2 linked regions of the Anolis sagrei genome follow. The protein of the gene in region 1 purifies or fractionates together with the protein of each later gene. This does not show direct contact. Links are inferred from orthologs where the notes say so. Each region holds a gene or a part of one and is shown on either strand. Other genes may lie near its edges.

Region 1 (6,913 bases):
CACACAAGGCCAAGTCACTTGTAGCAAACTGGAACTGCATGTTTATTATATGCATCTATCATATTCAAAGCCACCCCTCTCCCGATTCACCTCCTTTCCCCCTACATCAGAATTAGAATATAGGTTGGGGATATGGGCACAGCAAGGGATTTTGGAGCTGTGGGCATATTTATTTTTGATTTGTGGTTCTCTGAGACATGAGACAAGGGCTTTCTCTGAGTAAACAGGCTGACCGACAGCGACTGGCCCAAGGTCACCTTATGGGCTTCATAACACCGTGTATCTGTCCAGTTGTATCTCAACACTTTAACTCTGCCCAATGCTGAAGTAAAGGTAAAGGTTTTCCCCTGACATTAGGTCTAGTGGTGTCCCACTCTGTGCGGTGGTGCTCATCTTCATTTCTAAGCCAAAGAGCCGGCGTTGTCCATAGACGCCTCCAAGGTCATGTCGCCGGTATGACTGCATGGAGTGCAGTTACCTTCCCGCTGAAACGGTACCTATTGATCTACTCACATTTGCATGCTTTCGAACTGCTAGGTTGGCAGAAGCTGGGACTAACAACAGGAGCTTACCCCGCTCCCTAGATTCAAACCACTGACCTTCCAGTCAGCCAGTTCAGCAGCTAAGCAGTTTAACCCGCTGCGCTACCAGGGACTGCCCAACATTCGTTCCCTTTAATTCCACTTCCCTCTTGACAGTGAATCGGGGACTAGATCCCTCTATTGTTGGTTGGAGTCAACCAAGCATGACTTGAAAAGATTCCAAATAAATCCCCCTAAAAGCAAGCTGTGATGTTGCCATATTACATAAGGGACACCATTTGACTAGCGTTGTATACTACATAACTTGAGCAGCTATGGATTTTGGTACCATGGGCTTAGAGATGCGTGATCCGCCTGGTGTTTCATGATGGATGGAAAGGTAAACAGGGCTTATGTCTTGAAGGCCCCAGATCACTGTCAAGGCTTAAAGAGACAGAAAACACAAAAGGCCAAAGGTTCCTTCAATGTACAGCAACAGAGGTGTCTTAAGGGCCACTATATACATATGTCAATACATTGCATTGTTTATGTATTATTTATTTATTTACAGTATTTATATACCCCCCTTCTCTCCCCTGGGGGGACTCAAAGCAGTTGTGCAGTGCAATGTGTTGACATATCTATCTATCTATCTATCTATCTATCTATCTATCTATCACTGGGAGCCCCCAGTGGCACAGTGGGTCAAAGCGCTGAGCGAAAGGTCGCAGGTTTGAATCCGGGAGCGGGGGTGGGCTCCTGCTGTTAGCCCAGCTTCTGCCAACCTAGCAGTTCGAAAACATGCAAATGTGAGGAGATCAATAGGTACCGCTCCAGCGGGAAGGTAACGATGCTGCATGCAGTCATGCTGGCCACATGACCTTGGAGGTGTCTATGGACAACGCCGGCTCTTCGGCTTAGAAATGGAGTTGAGCACCAACCCCTCCAGTCATTTCCAACTCCCCAGAGTTGGAAACAACTGGACTTAATGTCAGGGGAAAACCTTTACTTAGCACAGACCTCTGGGAGGCCAGAGATTGCTCATGTGGCAGAAAGGCACAAAGACTGACTATCCTTGCAAGGAAATACTTGGAGAGTAACTGGCGCAAAGAAATGTTTAATCCGTTTCATCAGAGCCAGCAATGAAGTTCAATAAAGCTGATGCTAAAAATGGCTTTCTCTCGGTCAGTTTCCAAGACACTACAGGGCTGCCTTAGGTGTTTTTATTCTGAAACAGACCAAGATGGCAGCCTTGGGATGCTTACCTTGCAAAGGGATTGCTCCTCCCTAAGGCCCTTTCTACACTGCCATACAAAATCCAGATTATTTGCTTTGAACTGGATTATCAGGCAGTGTAGACTCATATAATCCTGTTCCAGAAGCGACTTGCAGTTTCTCAACGACAAAAAAATAAATCGATCTGCTTTGCTCATCTGAGCTCCCTCTGTCAGCTCCAGCTCCCCATGTGGGGACATGAGAGAAGCCTCCCACAAGGATGGTAAAAACATCAAAACATTCAGGGCAACGTCCTTGCAGGTGGCCAATTCTCTCACAGCAGAAGCGACTTGCAGTTTCTCAACGACAAAAAAAAATAAATCGATCTGCCTTGCTCATCTCTATGAGCTCCAGCTCCTCATGCGGGACATGAGAGAAGCCTCCCAGAAGGATAGTAAAAACATCAAATCATCCAGGCATCCCCTGGGCAACGTACTTGCAGATGGCCAATTCTCTCACACCAGAAGCGACTTGCAGTTTCTCAACGACAAAATAATAATAATAATCTGGATTATATGGCAGTGTAGAAGGGGCTTATGTTGTGGGCCAGTATCATACAGTGCCCACATCAGACAAACCATGTCCTTCTTTAGGCCTTCAGCATATCTCTATGGCATTCTCAGGCCAGGAGCCATTCATTTCAATAGGCCTTGCTATTGCCTGCATTTTCTCAGTCTGTAAAGAGAGCCAAAGGAATGCCATGCATTATGATCATCCATCTCTGAAGCAGGGAATACTACAACTATCTCCTCCACAGATTCCTTATACACAGGCCTTTCCAACCTTCAGGTTACTGGGAATTGAAGTCCCAAACACAGAAGAGGCAAAGCACTGGGGGGGGGGGGGGGGGGAGGCGCTCAGGAAGCCCCGCAAGAGGAGGATCCCCGGATGAGGGGCTGCTCTCTTACCCTGCCGCTTTGGCGACGCCGGTTCCGGTGCCATGCTTCCATCCCGGCTCCGATCCGCAGTCCTCTGCAGCAGGGCTTCGGGGAAAGGCCAGCCGGAGGGAGGAAGGGAGGAGAGAGAGGCAGCGCGCCCTTCCTGCAGCCGCAACAACAGCACCGGCTTGGCCTTGCAATGAAGGCAACGTGAAGTGGGGTGTTTGGGTGTTATTTCACTTAGGATCCCCACGGGAAGGGAGAAGAGGCGGCATGGCTCCCTGCAGCGGCGTTTCCCGCGCTCTGGCTCCGCCAACACGTCCGCCTCCGCCGCTGTCTCGGGGGCCACTGGCATGCTCCACGTGGTGGCTGTGTACAGCCCCGGGGAGGCCACGCCCACCGGCCTCCTGATTGGCCCCCCGGTGTCTGCTCGGCAGAAGGCGGGGCGAAGGCTACGGCAGGGCTAGTGCGCCTGCGCGGGAAGGAAAAGAGTCGTGCTGGTTCCACAGTTGGTCCTCCATATTCTCAAGTGGCTAAGGACACCTTGGAAAACCGAACATATCAATCAGGCCCCTTCTACACTCCCATATAATCCAGATCATCTAACCATTATCTGCTTAGAACTGGATTATATGAGTCTATACTGCCAGATAATCCAGTTCAATGCAGATAATCTGAATCTTGTATGGCTGTGTAAATCCAGCCTTAGGCCCCTTCTACACTGACACAGCCTTTGACTGTGTGGATCATAATAAATTGTGACAAGTTCTTGGTGGGATGGGCATACCAAGCCACCTTGTCTCTCTCCTGAGGAATCTGTACAAGGACCAAGTAGCAACAGTCAGAACTGACCACGGAACAACAGACTGGTTCAAGATTGGGAAAGGCGTACGGCAAGGCTGCATCCTCTCACCCAACCTTTTTAACTTGTATGCAGAACACATCATGAGGTGTGTGGGGCTTGAGGAATGCAAAGCTGGGGTGAAAATTGCTGGAAGAAACATTAACAACCTCAGATATGCAGATGACACCACTCTGATGGCCGAAAGCGAGGAGGAGCTGAGGAACCTTCTAATCAAGGTGAAAGAAGAAAGCGCAAAAGCCGGGTTGCAGCTAAACATCAAAATAACCAAGATTATGGCAACAAGAATGATTGACAACTGGGAAATAGAGGGAGAAAACGTGGAGGCCGTGACAGACTTTGTATTTCTAGGCACAAAGATTACTGCAGATGCAGACTGTGGCCAGGAAATCAGAAGACGCTTACTTCTTGGGAGGAGAGCAATGTCCAGTCTCGATAAAATAGTAAAGAGTAGAGACATCAGACTTGCAACAAAGATCCGCCTCGTCAAAGCCATGGTATTCCCTGTAGTCACCTAGGGATGTGAGAGCTGGACCTTAGGGAAGGCTGAGCGAAGGAAGATAGATGCTTTTGAGCTGTGCTGTTGGAGGAAAGTCCTGAGAGTGCCTTGGACTGCGAGAAGATCCAACCAGTCCACACTTCAGGAAATAAAGCCCGGCTGCTCACTGGAGGGAAGGATACTAGAGACAAAGTTGAAGTACTTTGACCACATCATGAGGAGACAGCAAAGCCTGGAGAAGACAATGATGCTAGGGAAAGTGGAAGGCAAAAGGAAGAGGGGCCGACCAAGGACAAGATGGATGGATGGCATCCTTGAAGTGACTGGACTGACCTTGAAGGAGCTGGGGGTGGTGACGGCCGACAGGGAGCTCTGGCGTGGGCTGGTCCATGAGGTCACGAAGAGTCGGAGACGACTGAACGAATGAACAACAAGGACACCTTGGAAAACCGACCATATCAATCAGGCCCCTTCTACACTGCCATATAATCCAGATCATCTAACCATTATCTGCTTAGAACTGGATTATATGAGTCTATACTGCCAGATAATCCAGTTCAATGCAGATAATCTGGATCTTGTATGGCTGTGTAAATCCAGCCTTAGGCCCCTTCTACACTGCCATATAATCCAGATCTTCTAAGCAGATAATCCGCATTATCTGCTTTGAACTGGATTATATGTCGGGACCCCTGGAGGGGTCATGAGGGAATGTCAGAGGGGTCACTTAAGATCACCAGAAAACACAGTATTTTCTGTTGGTCATGGGGGTTCTATGTGGGAAGTTTGGCCCAGTTCTCTCGTTGGTGGGGTTCAGAATGCTCTTTGATTGTAGGTGAACTACAACTCCCAAAATGTCAAGGACTATTTTCCCCAAACTCCACCAGTGTTCACATTTGGGCATATTGGGTATTTGTGCCAAATTTGGTCTAGTGAATGAAAATACATCCTGTCGATCAGATATTTACATTACAATTGATAACAGTAGCAAAATGACAGTTATGAAGTAGGAAGGAAAATAATTTTATGGTTGGGGTGCCACCACAACATGAGGAATTGTATTAAGGGGTCACAGCATGAGGAAGGTTGAGAACCCCTGACCTAGAGGTCTAAAGTTTGTCCATGCCTGGTGTAGGCACACTCTATTAGGGAGCTTTCCAGGGTGCTGAACCTTGACTACCAAAATAGATTCATCACCCACTTTAGCTCATTTAAAAAGAGAAGAATGCACCTATGATGGTATCTCCCTCCAAAGAGACTAGGCAAGATGTATAATTGCACTGACAAATGTTGGAAATATGAGAAAGAAAGAGGCCCATTTTACCACACGTGGTGGACATGTAACAAAGTAAACAACTATTGAAAACAGATTTGTGCATATCTCGAAAAGATGTTAAACACAAATTCCAAAATGACACCACAAATGTACCTTTTGAACATGCTTGATGGAGAACTAGAAAGAACATTTAGGGGAAAAATTGTTCTACATGACAGTCGCAGCTCGAATAGTATAGGCCAGATACAGGAAAACCTCAGAGATACCTCCCTTAGAAGAATGGGAAAAATACATTACAGATTTGCTGATAATGGATAAACCCTTGGCAGCCACCTCTCCACCAAAGTCAACATTGACACCGAAATACAACAGTGCCTGAGCTCTGCGAGTGCAGCATTTTTCCGAATGAAGCAGAGAGTGTTTGAGGACGGGGACATCCATAGGGATATCAAGGTGATTGTTTATAAAGCTATTGTACTCCCAACCCTGCTATATGCCTGCGAAACATGGACTGTCTACAGATGTCACACGCAACTTCTGGAATGATTCCATCAGTGCTACCTCCAAAAAATCCTGGAAATCTCTTGGGAAGACAAGCGGACAAATGTCAGCATGCTGGAAGAAGCAAAGACCACCAGCACTGAAGCAATGGTCCTCCATCAATTCTGCTGGACTGGCCACGTTGTCCGGATGCCTGACCACCGTCTCCCAAAGCAGTTGCTCTACTCCAAACTCAAGAACGGAAAATGGAAAGTTGGTGGGCAGGAAAAGAGATTTAAAGATGGGCTCAAAGCCAACCTTAAAAACTCTGGCATAGACACTGAGAACTGGGAAGCCCTGGCCTGGGAGCACTCCAGCTGGAGGTCAGATGTGACCAGCAGTGCTGCAGAATTTGAAGAGGCACGAATGGAGGGCGAAAGAGAGAAACGTGCCAAGAGGAAGGCGCATCAAGCCAACCCCAATTGGGACTGCCTTCCACCTGGAAACCAATGCCCTCACTGCGGGAGATTTTGCAGATCAAGAATAGGGCTCCACAGTCACCTACAGACCCACCTTGGAAGATTATCCTACTCGGACAATGAGGGATCACCTAAGTAAGAAGTAATGGATAAAATAACTGTACCATTAAGAAGAGAACTATTAGAAAACAATGTTAATGATTGGCAACCAATGCTTCAACATCTTAATGTAAAATCAAACGAAAAATGTATATAAGACTGTAGACAAGGAGGAAGCAGATATTAAATGAAAGCCTATGATATTCATATGTACTATTTAAATAGAAGACTATGACCCCTTAAAGAAAATATATCATCTGAGAAATGATTTTGGAATACTAATAACTGGAAAGCATTGCACTGTACGCAAGAAACACACATGTATGTCTATTTAAATAAAAAATAAAAAATAAGAGAAGAATATAAGCCCAGAGAAAATTTTTTCTCCCCACTGGGGCCCCTTCCACATAGCTGAATAAACCCCACATTATCTGCTTTGAACTGCAATATATGGCAGTATGGACTCAGATAACCCAGTTCAAAGCTGATGTTTTGGATTTTCTGCCTTGATATTCTGGGTTATATGGCTGGGTGGAAGGGCCTT
Region 2 (7,296 bases), on another chromosome or scaffold:
GGGCATTTCCAGCCATATATATATATACTTGTCTAAGTAGATATATGTGGCTGGAAATGCCCCTGTTCCGACTTTCATACAAACCCAGCTTCAGGGCAAACCTATCTTGTTCGTAATTTGGAGAGGTTCCTGCCTACCAAATCCCAAGACAAGTATATATATGGCTGGAAATGCCCCACTTCGGACTTCCATACAAACCTAACTTCTGGGCAGACCTACAGGACTGATCTTGGTGGTGACTTGGAGATGGCCTGCCTACCAAATCCCAAGACAAGTTGGGTTTGTATGGAAGTCAGGACTGGGGCATTTCCAGCCATGTATATACTTGTCTAATGCCCCAGTTCCGACTTCCATACAAACCCAGCTTCAGGGCAAACCTACAGGACTAGTCTTGTTTGAATTTGGGGAGGGCCCTGCCTACCAAATCCCAAGAGAAGTATAGATATGGCTGGAAATGCCCCAGTTCCGACTTCCATACCCACCCAACTTCAGGGCAAAACCTTCAGGGCTGATCTTGGTGGTGACTTGGGGATGGCCCTGCCTACCAAACCCCAAGACCCGAGCTTGCCCATGGCACTCCCTCTGTCCTTGCCTGAAACCCATGTTTGCAAATGGATCTGTGCCGCACACACACACAGAGACAGTCCCCAAGTTACAAGTAGATATATGGTTGGAAATGCCCCAGTTCGGACTTCCATACAAACCCAGCTTCAAGGCAAACCTACAGGATTGGTCTTGTTCGTAACTCAGGGACAGCCCTGCCTACCAAATCCCAAGACCCAAGCTTGCCCATGACACTCCCTCTGTCCTTGCCTGAAACCCATGTTTGCAACTGGATCTGTGCAGGAAAGAAGGCGTAGGTCTCCTTTCCCAACCCAGGCCCCTCTTCCCACACACACACACAGATTACAAGTGTATACATGGCTGGAAATGCCCCTGTTCTGACTTTTATACAAACCCAGCTTCAGGGCAAACCTATCTTGTTCGTAATTTGGAGAGGGTCCTGCCTACCAAATCCCAAGAAAAGTATATATATGGCTGGAAATGCCCCGGTTCGGACTTCCATACAAACCTAACTTCTGGGCAGACCTACAGGACTGATCTTGTTCGTATCTTGGGGACAGCCCTGCCTACCAAATCCCAAGACAAGTATATATATGGCTGGATATGCCCCAGTTCGGACTTCCATACAAACCCAACTTTTGGGCAGACCTACAGGACTGATCTTGGTGGTGACTTGGGGATGGCCTGCCTACCAAATCCCTAGACAAGTTGGGTTTGTATGGAAGTAAGGACTGGGGCATTTCCAACCATGTATATACTTGTCTAATGCCCCAGTTCCGACTTCCATACAAACCCAGCTTCAGGGCAAACCTACAGGACTAGTCTTGTTTGAATTTGGGGAGGGCCCTGCCTATCAAATCCCAAGACAAGTATAGATATGGCTGGAAATGCCCCAGTTCCGACTTCCATACAAACCCAACTTCAGGGCATACCTACCTGACTGGTCTTGTTCGTATCTTGGCACTCCCTGTGTCCTTGCCTGAAACCCATGTTTCCAAATGGATGTGGGCAGGGAAGAAGGCGCAGATCCAATTCCCCAACCCAGGCCCATAGCCCCCCCCCCTCCGCCCCGGTTACAAGTGTATATATGGCTGGAAATGCCCCTGTTCCGACTTCCATACAAACCCAGCTTCAGGGCAAACCTACAGGACTAGTCTTGTTTGAATTTGGGGAGAGCCCTGGCTATCAAATCCCAAGACAAGTATAGATATGGCTGGAAATTTCCCAGTTCGGACTTCCATACCCACCCAACTTCAGGGCAAAACCTTCAGGGCTGATCTTGGTGGTGACTTGGGGATCCCTCTGTCCTTGCCTGAAACCCATGTTTGCAACTGGATCTGTGCCACAAACACACATACACACAGAGACAGTCCCCAAGTTACAAGTAGATATATGGTTGGAAATGCCCCAGTTCCGACTTCCATACAAGCCCAGCTTCAGGGCAAACCTACAGGACTGGTCTTGTGGGTGACCTGGGGAGGGCCCTGCCTACCAAACCCCAAAACCTGAGCCTGCACATGACCCTCCCTCTGTCCTTGCCTGAAACCCATGTTTGGAACTGGATCTGTGTCACAAACACACACACACACACACACACACAGAGAGAGACAGTCCCCAAGTTACAAGTAGATATATGGTTGGAAATGCCCCAGTTCCGACTTCCATACAAACCCAACTTCAGGGCAAACCTACAGGACTGGTCTTGTGGGTGACCTGGGGAGGGCCCAGCCTCCCAAACCCCAAGACCCGAGCCTGCCCATGGCACTCCCTCCGTCCTTGCCTGAAGCCCATGTTTGGAACGGGATGTGGGCAGGGGGGAAGGCGCAGGCCCCCTTCCCCAACCCAAGCCCCTCTCCCTCCTCTCCCTCCTCTCTTTCTCACCGGGCCCGTAGAACTTCCTCCCGCGGGAGACGTCGAAGACCTTCCCGTTGATGGCCATGAGGATGCGGGGGTTCTGGACGCCGTCGAAGGGGCGCAGCTCGGCCAGGGTGAAGTCCCGGCGGCGGAGCTTGGGCAGGGGCGGGGGCGCGTCCTCCTCGCCCTCGGGCTGGGCCCGGCCCCGGTCCCCGCGCAGGATCTGGTAGAGCAGGAAGAGGCACAGGCCCAGCAGGCTCAGGTTCAGCGGGGAGCTCACCAGCTCCAGCAGGAGACCCCCGCCCCCGCCCCCGCCGCTCTCCCCGCCTGCGCCTTCCTCCTCCTGCGCCATGGATGATGCTGCTGACCAAGCGGAGAGAGAACCCGGGGAAAGAAGGAAGGAAAGGTTCGCCAAGCCAGGAAAAGGGGGAGGAAGAGCAGGAGGACAAGGAGGAGGAGCTGCGAGGGGTCGCAATCGGAATCTACGCCCCCCAAGGCCGAAGAGGAGCTGCCCACAAGGAGGCGCGCCGTGCGTCAAGCTGGGCACAGTTTTGCAAACGAGCTCTCCCTCTCCAACGCCGCTCTTTCCGGGGAAGGGAAGGCTCTCCAAGCCAGGAAGAGGAGGAGGAAGAGAGGAGGAAGAGGAGGAGGAACGGGGAGGGATAGCAATCGGGATCTACGCCCCCCAAGGCCGAAGAGGAGGGGCCCACAAGGAGGCGAGCCGTGCGTCAAGCTTGGTGCGTAAAGCTTGGCCGGCTGTTAGCCAAAGAGCTGTCCCTCCCTCCTCAACGCCGCTCTCTCCAGAGAAGACAAAGCTCTCCAAGCCAAGAAGAGGAGGAGGAAGAAGAGAGGAGGAAGAGGAGGAGGAACTGGGAGGGATAGCAATCGGGATCTACGCCTCCAAGCCCGAAGAGGGGGGGCCCAAAAAGGAGGCGCGCCGTGCGTAAAGCTTGGCACACTTTTGGAAAAGAGGTGTCCCTCTCCAACGCAGCTCTTTCTGGGGAAGGGAAGGGTCTCCAAGCCAGGAAGAGAGGAGGAAGAGTGTAGGAAGAGGAGGAACTGGGAGGAATAGCAATCGGGATCAAGGCTTCCAAGCCCAAAGAGGAGGTGCCCAAAAAGGAGGCGCGCCGTGCGTAAAGTTTGGCACGCTTTTTGCAAAAGCTGCTCCTCTTCAAGGCTGCTCTTTCCGGGGAAGGGAAGGGTCTCCAAGCCAGGAAGAGGAGGAGGAAGAGAGGAGGAACTGGAGGAAGGGGGGGGGGGGGTAGCAGTCGGGATCAACGTCCCCACAAAGCCAAAGAAGAGGTGCCCAAAAGGAGGCGCGCCGTGCGTAAAGCTTGGCACGCTTTTTGCAAAAGAGCTCTCCTTTTTTGAACGTCGCTCTCTCCAGGAAAAGGAAGGCTCTCCAAGCCAGGAAGAGGAGGAGGAAGAGAGGAGGAAGAGGAAAAGGAACTGGGAGGGGTAACAATCGGGATCTGCGCCCCCAAGCCCAAAGAGGGGGTGCCCAAAAAGGAGGCGCGCCGTGCGTAAAGCTTGGCACACTTTTGGAAAAGAGGTGTCCCTCTCCAACGCAGCTCTTTCCGGGGAAAGGGAAGGGTCTCCAAGCCAGGAAGAGGAGGAGGAAGAGTGTAGGAAGAGGAGGAACTGGGAGGGATAGCAGTCGGGATCAAGGCTTCCTAGCCCAAAGAGGAGGTGCCCAAAAAGGAGGCGCGCCGTGCGTCGAGCTTGGCATGCGTTTTGCAAAAGAACTCTCCCTCTCCAAGGAAAAGAAAGGTCTCTAAACCAGGAAGAGAGGAGGAAGGGGAGGAACTGGGTGGGGTAGTAATCGGGATCAACGCCCCCAAGCCCGAAGAAGGGGTGCCCAAAAAGGAGGCGCGCCGTGCGTAAAGCTTGGCACACTTTTGCAAAAGAACTCTCCCTCTCCAACGCAGCTCTTTCTGGGGAAGGGAAGGCTCTCCAAGCCAGGAAGAAGAGGAGGAGCGGGGGGTGGGGATACTATTCTGGGTCTGCGCCTCCAAGCCCGAAGAAGGGGTACCCAAAAAGGAGGCTTGGCAGGCTGTGTGCAAACGAGGTGCCCCTCCTCAAGGCCGCTCTCTCCAGAGGAGACCAAGCTCTCCAAGCCAGGAAGAAGAAAAGGAACTGGGAGGGATACTAATGTATTGACGTTATATTGATGTATTGATGTGCTCTTATATTGATGTAGTTGCCTTAGTTGCTGTTTTTAAATGCTAGTGTTGTGCACTTTGTATATTGACCTGGTTGTAAACCACACTGAGTCGCCTACCGGCTGAGAGAGTGCAATATACAATTAAAGTAAATAAAGTAAATAAATAAATACTAACTGGGATCAAGGCCTCCAAGCCCAAAGAGGAGGTGCCCGACATTCCCAAATCACACTGCATGGCAGAAGAGGGTGGCCCTTGTTTGTTTGTTTTTTACAGTATTTATATATTCCTCCCTTCTCACCCTGCAGAGGACTCAGGGCAGATCACAATGCACATCTACATGGCAAACATTCTGTGCCCTTGCGCTTGGGGGCTATTATTCTTAATGAAGGAGGGATGGACGCCGCACCTTTCCCCCAAGGGATTGCTTCTTGCCCTCCTTTAGGAAACTGGAACTCCCAAAAACCCAAAACACTGTAAATAGCTCAAGATAAGTTTTATTGATCACAAAGTCATTTCTTCAAAGCAATGAGCTGGAAAACTTTAGAGGGGTGAAGGAAAACATACATTACAGTCTCAATTAGTCCTGGGTCCAAGGGGTTTGAAGCTGAGAAGCCTCACTCAGTTTCCTCCTTCCTCAGTGGCTGTGAATGCGGGAGCAAACCACAACCCCAGTTCAGATGGCCTATGTTTTGAAGATTCAGGATCTTCCTTTGGTGCCAAAAGAACTGGCTTGAAGGCGCTTGGGATCTCCTCAATGTTATCCAGGATGATCTGGACATAAAGCATGAGTCCCAGGGGTAAAAACCTCAGAACTGGTGCTAAGAGGTAACTTAAATCAGGGTCCTTTGGAGTCAGGTCTCTTACTCACGTCCATCTGGTACAAACTCTAATGGCAGAATGAAGAAGAAAAAGGAAGCTCTCCCCTCTTGCAGGAAGAGGTGGAGCCAAACAGTACTGATTGACAGCTACAAGCAACCAATCCATACAACTATACATAAGCAGGGTAAAAAAGGGGCAGGATTAAGCATGATACAACAGTTTAAATCTTACAACTAACAGTTCTATACATAGGTGGCGCCACTCGCACCGTCACACATTCAATGCCATAGACACGCAACATATATATAGACAGACACACAGAGGCTATTTAACTTTCCAGCTTCATGAGGGTATGTTTCGAATTCCGGCCGCCGGAGGAGCTATCGCTTCACCATCCACTTGTGGCACTGATTGAGTACTTCCTCATTCTTTTGCACACTGCTGGAGAGTTTTATGGCATTGTAAATTAGTTAAATTAGCCTCTCTGCCTAAGCGGTACCTAAATTTCCTACATGACAGATGCAACTGTCTTTCGGGTAGCAAAGGTCGACAGCAAGCTAGACAAATGGTCGGGAGCTTACTCTGGCCTGGGCTGGCTTTGAAGTCATGAGTAGTGATTTTAATGCAGTTGACTTCCCAACCAGCTGTGCCACAACCTGGTCCTTGTTGCTTCCAGCTCTGACATTTGATGATCCCACGTCTGAATTGAGACATGAAACTCAGACATCAAAGTGTGGAAAGGCGGAAAATGTATAGGATCCAGGCTTTAGGTTTCCCAAGGGACTGAAAGGATGATGCTATTGCGACAACATCGCTCCAGGCACAGCCAGGCCCTCCTTTCCCTTCTTCCTGAGAAAGGGAATGAAGGAGCTCACAAGCTCCGTCCTGCTTTCTCTGGCTTTGAACCCAACTGTGCCCATTATCATTTGCCACCCACTCCTGTTTTCCTCGTTACTTCACAAACCGGTTTAATGGTTGAACAACTCCAGAGGTTGGACAACAACTCCCAGAATTCTCTACATTTCTGAGAATTCTAGGCCCCAGAAGGAACTTTCTCCAACTCTGGCCTTATTCACTACTAAAATGGAAAGTTATTATTCATAGTGTTTACTCTGGTAAAGATGTATAGCACAATGTTTCTCAACCTGGGGGTCGGGACCCCTAAGGGGGGTCGCAAAGGGGGTTTCAGAGGGGTTGTCAAATACCATCAGAAAACACATATTTCTGATGGTCTCAGGAACATTTTTGGCAGAGGAGGCTGAAGATCTCTCTGCCCGTCCTCTTCCTTTTTGGTGTTGGTGAACTACAACTCCCAGAATTCAAAAACAGCCCCCCTCCCCAACTCCACCAGTATTCAATGTTGGCCATGTAGGTAGCGTGCCAAGTTTGGTGCAGATCCATTGTGGGCTGGGTTCAGAATGCTTTTTGATTGTAGGTGAACTATAAATCCCAGCAACTACAACTCCCAAATGCCAAAGTCTAGTTTCCCCAAACTCCACCAGTGTTCACATTTGAGCATATTGAGTATTTGTGCCAAGTTTGGTCCAGATCTCTCTGGATGTAGGTGAACTACAACTCCAAAACTCAAGGTCAATGCCCACCAAACCCTTCCAGTATTTTCTCTTGGTCATGGAAGTTCAGTGTGCCAAGTTTGGTTGAATTCTATCTTTGGTGGAATTCAGAATGCTCTTTGATTATAGGTGAACTATAGGTGAACTATAAATCCCAGCAACTACAACTCCCAAATGTCAGGGTCTTTTCCCCCAGACTCCACTGGTGTTCACATTTGGGCATATTGAGTATATGTGACAACTTTGGTCCAGATCCATCCTTGTTTGAGGACACAGTGCTCTCTGGATGGAGGTGAACTACAATTCGCAAACTCAAGGTCAAT

The links. Proteins that work in one complex are often made in the same cells at the same time.
Region 2: the proteins of DUSP9 (region 1) and PGRMC1 purify together in Homo sapiens (affinity purification with mass spectrometry; 3 studies listed by BioGRID). This does not show direct contact. The link is inferred for Anolis sagrei from reciprocal best matches to the Homo sapiens genes DUSP9 and PGRMC1.

Annotation. Positions count from the first base shown.
Region 1 is NC_090022.1:177,537,120-177,544,032, reverse strand, and holds the start of DUSP9 (dual specificity protein phosphatase 9), read right to left. Parts: upstream 3,012-6,913; 5' UTR 2,705-3,011; intron 1-2,704. UniProt on the Homo sapiens protein: Inactivates MAP kinases. Has a specificity for the ERK family.
Region 2 is NC_090030.1:2,913,282-2,920,577, reverse strand, and holds the start of PGRMC1 (membrane-associated progesterone receptor component 1), read right to left. Parts: upstream 3,009-7,296; 5' UTR 2,771-3,008; coding exon 2,446-2,770; intron 1-2,445. UniProt on the Homo sapiens protein: Component of a progesterone-binding protein complex. Binds progesterone. Has many reported cellular functions (heme homeostasis, interaction with CYPs). Required for the maintenance of uterine histoarchitecture and normal female reproductive lifespan.